Linked DNA regions of Macaca mulatta. The protein of the gene in region 2 purifies or fractionates together with the protein of the main gene of each other region. This does not show direct contact. Links are inferred from orthologs where the notes say so. Each region holds a gene or a part of one and is shown on either strand. Other genes may lie near its edges.

Evidence for each region.
Region 1: the proteins of MMP2 (region 2) and COL5A1 purify together in Homo sapiens (co-immunoprecipitation; 3 studies listed by BioGRID and IntAct, counting the BioPlex papers as one, with this or other methods). This does not show direct contact. The link is inferred for Macaca mulatta from reciprocal best matches to the Homo sapiens genes MMP2 and COL5A1.

Annotation. Positions count from the first base shown.
Region 1 is NC_133420.1:7,772,870-7,776,671, forward strand, and holds part of COL5A1 (collagen alpha-1(V) chain), read right to left. Parts: intron 3,686-3,802; coding exon 3,518-3,685; intron 3,112-3,517; coding exon 3,055-3,111; intron 1-3,054. UniProt on the Homo sapiens protein: Type V collagen is a member of group I collagen (fibrillar forming collagen). It is a minor connective tissue component of nearly ubiquitous distribution. Type V collagen binds to DNA, heparan sulfate, thrombospondin, heparin, and insulin.
Region 2 is NC_133425.1:50,967,093-50,971,629, forward strand, and holds the start of MMP2 (72 kDa type IV collagenase), read left to right. Parts: upstream 1-1,571; 5' UTR 1,572-1,850; coding exon 1,851-2,003; intron 2,004-4,537.

The DNA.
Region 1 (3,802 bases), on a different chromosome or scaffold from region 2:
ACTTTGTCACTCAGGCAGGAGTGCAGTGGCACGATCTTGGCTCATTGCGACCTCCACCTCCCGGGTTCAACTGATTCTCCTGCCTCAGCCTCCAGAGTAGCTGGGATTACAGGTGTCCACCACCACGCCTGGTTAATTTTTTTTGCAGTTTTAGTAGAGACGGGGTTTTGTCATGTTGGTCAGGCTGGTCTCGAACTCCTGACCTCAGGTGATCCACCCACCTCGGCCTCCCAAAGTGCTGGGATTACAGGTGTGAGCCACCGCACCTGGCTGAATGCATACAATTTTAACAAAAGAAATAAAAGACCTCAGACCTGGCAGAACTCAAGACAATCTCAAAGGAGGTCCACCCATCTGTTAAACAGCACTTTTTAAAAAACAAAAAACAGCGTCAAGTGGAGATGGTGATTTGGATGCCCCTAACCGACGTGGCCCAGGTAAAATCAGCCCCTGGGGGCCTCCCGGTTGGAAGCCCAGGGATAAAGATGAACTTCTCCGTTCTGTGGATTCCTGTCCTTTTTAGGGAACCTCCGGTTTGGCTGACAATGAGAGGGAGCGGGACTGAGTGGGAAAGACCAGGAACAGATGCATCTCCCAAGAGAGAAGTCAGGTGGGGCAGGTTGCGGGAATGGGAGACAACAGACACCCCCTTCCACAGGCCGGGACGCCTGCAGGGCCCCAGGACCTGGCAATCTGTTTATGTGCAGCTTGGACCCAAGGACATCTGGCGATGCTCCAGGTTGAGAAATTCCAACTGTTTATGTGATCTCTGCAGGGGGCCTGGCCAAAGGCCCCGGGACACTGGGAGCAGGCTGGGGCCCGGGGCAGGGAATCCTTTTTAAGTGATCCAGACGGCTGCTGCTTTTCCCAACAAAGGTGAACTGGACTTTCCGGAGCCGTGAGGTTCCTGTGGGGCCACCTCGACTCTCCGCCCTCTCCTTGACCCACCCTTGCCCACTGCTGGCTTCCCAGGGGCCTGGCAGTGGAACACCTGTGCCCACCCCACACGCCCACCCGCTTTCAGGAGCCCCGACACCACGTCTACACTCACAGAACCAGCTTACTCGGAAATGTGAGCCAACGCAAAGCTCGCTCAAAGGTTTCAGTCCGGCTCTCCCAGAGCGGGGAGGGGAAACCGGGATCTCGCAGAGCCAGCCGCACCTGCCCACTCCTGAGCTCCCATCTTCCTCCCATCTTCCTCCCCGAGCAAGGACCGCCTTTCACTGAAGCAATGGGGACAGCACAAAAGAAGCCCAAGGCCAACCTCAAGTCCACCTGCGGGCCAAGACCGTCTGGGGAAATGCGGCAGGATGTCCCACCTCCCAGTAACAAGGGTGGCTCGGGGCTGGGACCTTGGACGCAGCCTCTGCTGTTGTTCACTTTCTGGCCAACACCCTTGGGCAGAGCAGAACAGGCCTGCAGCCCCGCTTCTGGGTGAGTCCGCCCAGGTGGACGGCTGTCACTCTCCCCCGTAGCCACTCTGCTCCCTGAGCTGAGGCCTGGCTCTGAGGTTGTCCACATTGCTGAGCAGGGGGACCCTGGCCTCAGAGTTTCCCTTCACACCTCTGCACCCCCTTGCCCTGCACCCAATGACCCTTCTGCCTCAGACAAGCTCTGTCTTTCCTGGACCCCCAGAGAGCACTGGAAAGGGGCTCCGGTCTGAGAAAAGGATGTGTCTGTGGGCACTGGCAGGTCCTACCCCCGGGCTGGGCCTGCAGCAGGGGCATGGAGCCCCACCAGAGCCATCCAGACGCTTCCATAGGCCAGGAAGGGGTGAAGCCCTGGACCCTGGGAATTCCACCCCAGAGATGGGACACATCCCGTCTGCCCTGGCCACGGGCTTCAAACAGATTCCAAGGGGATAAATGCCTGCTAAGTGCCATCTGTCAAGGTTCCAACAGAATGTCCCCAGCTCTACAGGAGGGTGGTGGGTCACCATGACTCCACATTCCGGGAACCGCAAGGTCACGGGGCTTCTGGGAGCCCCAAGGTGTATCCTGAGCTCAGCCCTCAGGAACGGAGCCCTGGCAGCAGAACAAACAGCCGCCCCCAGCCTCGCGACTGGCCGTGATGCAGGACGCGCACATCCTCCTGTGGGCACTTGGACAACATGGCAGGGTGGGCCTTGGTGCTGGCTCCTCCCTGCTCTCAGGTCGTGCCTACCACATGCAGCTGCCAGACTCCCTGCCCAGCTGTTCACGGGGCATCTTGCCCGCCGGCAGGGTGGGCGGGATGTCAAGACCTTGACCTTAGCGCCTCTGAGACCCCAGGGAGAAATGCAGGCCTCCCAGCCAGGCCATGACCCCCTGAGGGACAAGGACACCCCAGTGTGGGGCAGGGCCCCCACCAAACACGCCAACCCAGGAGGGGCATCTAGAACGTCCTCCGCTACAGTCCCACACTTGAGGGCATTATCAACAGTAACTTTTTAAACTCACCCATGATCTGATTACCTAACATAGTTGGGTTTTACTCAGCTGGAATTTCGGCACAGTGCTGTTTTATTTCATTATTTCAGCACAGTGCTGTTTTATTTCATTCCCTTGACAAAGTTTCATAAACAGTATTCCATGTTTCAACGGCTTCAGTAAACTTACTCCAAACGGTTGCATAACAGACGCGGAAAGTACAGCCATGTGTTAACTATTCCCTACCACTGCCGCGCGCATCTTTTACAAGGAATGGCCCATTTACATTCTCTCCTCCACCCCTCAAAGGGGACTCCACCTCTGCCTCGAAAGCGCTGAGCTGCTTTTCATCCCGGGTGAAACTGACAAGCACTGAGATGCTCAGAGCTCAGGTGCAGGACGGGCTGGGATCAGCACCTATCCCGCCCCCTCCATCATGGTCCAGAACATCCCCGACCTGAGGGGATTCTTCCCAAGTCCTGGTGACGAGTGGTGCGTGGACTCCACGAGACCAGGTGATTCCTCGAAGTGACCCAGTCCGCGCAGGTCCAGGGGCCCACGGACCTGGTCACGCCCTACACACCCCACTGTGCTCCCAAGCAGCAGACACCACGGCTTCAGGGAGAGAATGAGAAAATGTCCTCACCGGCTCGATGATTGCTGGTTCTCCCTTTTGGCCTTTCTCGCCCCGAGGTCCTCCAATCTGGGGGTGATAAAAGGCAGATGGAGAGAGAATCGGAGAGAAAAGTGAAAAAGAAAGTCCAGATTACACAAAATCTGCCCGATTTCACAAGGCGAGGGCACTATCGCAGTCAGGCGTCTCCCCAGGCCCAGGAGGATGGCAGGAGCGTGACAGAGGCCAGGCCCATGGAAGCCCATGAGACTACTAATGAAGAAACAGGCCCGGAGGAGAGCATGCCGTGATGCACACGTTATTCAGAGCAAATTCGAGGCACTGAGGTCTCTTTAAAAATAAAGTTTTGGGAACAGCATGCAACACTTGAGCTGCCCGTAGAGCCCCACCCCTGAGGAGGCTCCTGGGCAGGAGCCCCCATGATGCCCCGCCAGCTCCCCAGCCCCACCTGGAATGGGGGCCTGCACCCTCTCACCCCTTCATAGATGGTATCCTGGTTCGCCGGCATTCCTGGCCCAATCTCCGACGGGGAGTTGGTGGGGTCATAGTAGGGGTCGTAGTAGTTCTCGTCAAGGTTCCTGATGGTTTCCTCAGTGAACTCCCCCTCCAAGTCATCCGCACCTTCCCCTGGAGGCGGAGCTGGCTGCAGAGGGAGAGGAAGGCGCAGGGTCACCTCACAAATGCACCAGGCACTGCCTCTCCATCAGACCCTGGGCGGGCACCATGGCTACCCAGTCAACCGGGCAGAGACCCCCCTCTG
Region 2 (4,537 bases):
CCACAAGCATATTGCTCCTGATTCTTTCAGCCCCTGACCTTGCTTCTCAAACTATTCCCTGCTGAACCCCAGTCCTATCTGCCCCCTTCCTAGGCTGGTCCTTACTGACCCCTCCAGCTCCATCCCCTCACCCTGTGCCCCACCTTTTTCAGATGGAAAAAACTTCCTTCTCCAGTGCCTCTTGCTGTTTTTCATCTCTGGGCCTTTGCCAATGTTCCCTAGATTGTGCCTAAAACTTTTCCCATATTCCCCACCCAGCACTCCACATCTTTAGCTCTTCAGGTCTCAACTCAGAAGTCACTTCTTCCAGGAAGCCTTCCTTGATTGTCTTTGCTAGTTTAAGGGCTGAAGTCAGGTGTTCCCAATAGCCTGCGAGAGTTTCCCATCACAGCTTATCTCTCAACTGTCTTTCCTGACAAAGGGAGAGGACATTCCTCAGAGAATGTTGTCACGGGGAGAACCTCAAAATTGGCATTCAACCTGAGAGGCCACATGGATTCTTGGCTTGGCTCAGGAAAGGATTCAAGAGTAAGTGGGGAGTTCCTGGAACTGAGGGCTCCTCCCCTTTTTAGACCATATAGGGTAAACCTCCCCACATTGCCATGGCATTTATAAATTGCCTTGGCACTGGTGGGTGCTTCCTTTAACATGCTAATGCATTATAATTAGCATAAAATGAGCAGTGAGGATGACCAGAGGTCCCTTTCTTTGCCATCTTGGTTTTGGCTGGCTTCTTCACTGCATACTGTTTCATCAGTGGGGTCTTTGTGACCTCTATCTTATTAAACCAGTCTTGACCAATTTCTATCTCATCCTGTGACTGAGAATGCGGACCCTCCTGGGAGTGCAGCCCAGCAAGTCTCAGCTTCATTTTACCCAGCCCCCTGTTCAAGATGGAGTCGCTCTGGTTCAAACGTCTCTAACGCGGGGCCGTGACTACTCTGTTTCCCAAGGTGTATCTAGCATCTCGCACTACGCGAGGCCAAGTTAAGGCTTACACATTTGCAGAAGGAAAGAGGTAGCGAAGCAACCTGGGACGTTCCACTGTTTCTGTTTCCATCTCTCTATCTCTTTCCATCTCTGTTCATCTCATTCCTCTCTGTCCCCATTTCTAAATATCGAAAATTTCTGTCTCTGACCATCTATCAATGTGGCTGATCATCTGTTTCTGACCATTCCTTCCCGTTCCTGACCCCAGGGAGTGCAGGGAGTCCTGGCCCAGCCGGCGTTCCTCCAAGTAGTACCACTCTCTAACCTCAGGACGTCAAGGGCCTAGAGCGACAGCGCCAGATGTTTCCCAGCAAGGGGTTCTGAGGCTGTGAGCCCAGATCTCGAGAGAGGGAAGTGGGGTGACGAGGTCGTGCACTGAGGGTGGACGCGGAGGCCAGAAGTAGCAGGCGGCCGGGGAAAAGAGGTGGAGAAAGGGAAAAAGAGAGAAAAGCGGAGGAGGGCGAGTAGGGGGGTGGGGCAGAGAGGGGCGGGCCCGAATGCGCCCCCCACCCCCAGCCCGGCCCAGCCAGCTCCCTCCCAGCCCAGCCGGCTACATCTGGCGGCTGCCCTCCCTTGTTTCCGCTGCATCCAGACTTCCTCAGGCGGTGGCTGGAGGCTGCGCATCTGGGGCTTTAAACATACAAAGGGATTGCCAGGACCTGCGGCGGCGGCGGCGGCGGCAGCGGGGGCGCGGGGGCCGGACCATGAGCCGCTGAGCCGGGCAAAACCCAGGCCACCGAGCCAGCGGACCCTCGGAGCGCAGCCCTGAGCCGCAGAGCAGGCTCCAACCAGGCGGCGACGCGGCCACACGCACGGAGCCAGCGACCCCCGGGCGACGCACGGGGCCCGGGAGCGCAACGATGGAGGCGCTAATGGCCCGGGGCGCGCTCACGGGTCCCCTGAGGGCGCTCTGCCTCCTGGGCTGCCTGCTGAGCCATGCCGCCGCCGCGCCGTCGCCCATCATCAAGTTCCCCGGCGATGTTGCCCCCAAAACGGACAAAGAGTTGGCAGTGGTGAGTTGCTGCGCTGGCCTCAAGGAACCAAGTTTAGACAAACTTCGGAGGCAAAACATGGGGGTGTCTCTCCCCCTGCCCTCGGCGGTGGGCACACAGTGTGGGGGAGGGGCTTCGGTAAACAGCTTGGGGGGTCTTTGGTAAGCTATTGGAGTGATGTCTTGCAAACGGTGGGGGATCTTTTGTAAGCAGAGAAGACCTTTGATAAACAATTTGGCAACCTTCAGGATACAGCAGTGGGGCGAAAAACAAGCCAGAGAGCGGGAGAGGGGTGACCTGGCAAACTACTGGAAAGGGACTCTTATGTAAATGGCGGGGACCTCCTCTAGTATCTGGGACATTTGGCAAGGGGGGGCGGTCTTTGTAAACAATTTTTGGACACATCTGGGCAGTTGCTAAGGGCTCTCGCCAAGCGTCTTGGTAGGCCTTTGGCAGACAGCTAAAGGGGTCGTTTTTCCTAATGTAGGACTTTGGGAACGGGGCTCTGGCACACAATTTGGGTAAATTTATGCGCGCATAAGGATGGGAGGGAGCTTAGCCAACGCGGGGCTTGGCAAACTTCTAGGAACCTTCAGCACAGATCCGGAGAGGGGCCTTTAAATAAACAGCTCAAGGGGGCCATTTGGGAAGTGATTGGGGCAGGAGGGAAGCAGAGAGCGCATCTTTTTTCACCTGGCTTAATGGACAAATTGGTCAAGGGCTGGGCCTCGGAAAGTTTCCTCGAACTTCTCCAAAGGGTCGGAGGAAAGAAGGAGAGAGCTTGCCCGGCAGGAGGGAAGAGGAGTGGGGCAGGCGCTGGAGGGCCTGGCGCGTGGGGCGGGGGCGGACTGCGCTCCGCTAGGGTCGGAGAGCGGCCAGCGAGTCCTCCTTCCTGGCTGGGTTCCCAAACTGCGGTTCAGATGTTGTCTTGTGAGCGTGCGCGCGCCTGGCTGGAGGGACACTGAGCCTGGCCGCAGTGTTGCGTAAGTAGGGCCTGAGGAGGGAGGCCAGCCAGGGACCCTTCAAGATGTCCTTTCCACTCCGGGGGATATCTGCTCCCTTGTTGCCTCAGCCACCCTGCCCTCCAGCCTCCCCCTCAACCTGTCCGGGAGAAGACGCCCATGACCTCTGGTCACCCTAGGAACTCCTTCAGGAGATGACACCTACCCTCTCCCAACTCTCACCCTTTCCAGGCAGCTAAGTCTCAGCCCCCTCTGGATAGATGGGTTGGGAAACTGTACATTTTTAGAGGGCTACTTTTTTCAAGGGTCTGGAGCTGGCTAGCATAATGATGTGGCTGTTGGGTGGGGCTGAGAGTGGAGCTGTGGGACAATGACAAAGCTGCTTGGGTTCCTTACACTTTTTCCAGCCAATGGGTCACAGGATGAACCCCTAAATTGGGGCTCAGCCTGGGGGCCACATGGGTTCTTGGCGTGGAACAGGAAGGAATTCAAGAGCCAGCCAACAGAGTAAAGTGAAAACAAATTTATTAAGAAGCTAAAGGAATAAAAGGGTGATTATTCCATAGGCAGACCAGGGAATGGGCTGCTTGAGTGAGTATACACACGGTTATTTCTTGATTATATGCTAAACAAGGGGTGGATTGTTTAGGAGTTTTCCGGAAAAGGGATGGGGAGTTCCTGAAACTGAGGGTTCCTGTCCCTCTTAGACCATATAGGGTAACTTCTCCATGTTGCTATGGCATTTATGAACTGTCATGGCGCTGGTGGGAGTGTCTAATGTATTTAACATCCTAATACATTATAATTAGCATATAATGAGCAGTGAGCACGACCAGAGGTCACTTGCATTGCTGTCTTGGTTTGGGTGGGCTTTCTCCAGCTTCTTTACTGCATCCTGTTTTATCATAGGGGTCTTTGTGACCTGACCTGTATGTTGTGAAATCAGTCCTGCCAACCTCCTGTCTCATTCTGTGGCTAAGAATGCCTGCCCTCCTGGGAATGCAGCCCAGCAGGTCTCAGCCTCATCTTACCCAGCCTCTACTCAAGATGGAGGTGCCTGGTTTGAACACCACTGACAAACGGAAGTCTGTGTTGTCCAGAGGCAATGCAGTGGGGGGCTTAAGAAGATAGCTCTGGACTTAGACTGCTTGGCTTCAAATCAAAGGGTGCGTGAACTAACTAGCTGGCCTAGTGATGATCTTGGGCAAGTGACTTCTCAGTTTCTTCATCTGCAAACTGGGAAATTCCATATCTCAGGGTTAAAAGAGAGGTAATCTTAGGTGCTTACCTAGCACATGGTAAGTACTCAATAAGCACTAGTCATTATTCCTATTATATTATTATTATGTCCTTGATTTCCCCTTTCCTAACTACTTCCAAGAAGGCTAGGACCATTGTCAGAAGATCTCCTGGCTCTTTTCACCGTTCCAACAGGGCACTTATCACATACTTCATTTTGGTTTTATTTGTGATCTATCAGCCTCCCTGCTAGGATTGAACTTTAGAGACAGAGCTGTCTATCTTGTTCACCAATTTATCCTCAGCAGTAGCACTGGGCTTGGTACGTGGTAGGTGCTAAAAAGTATTTGTTGA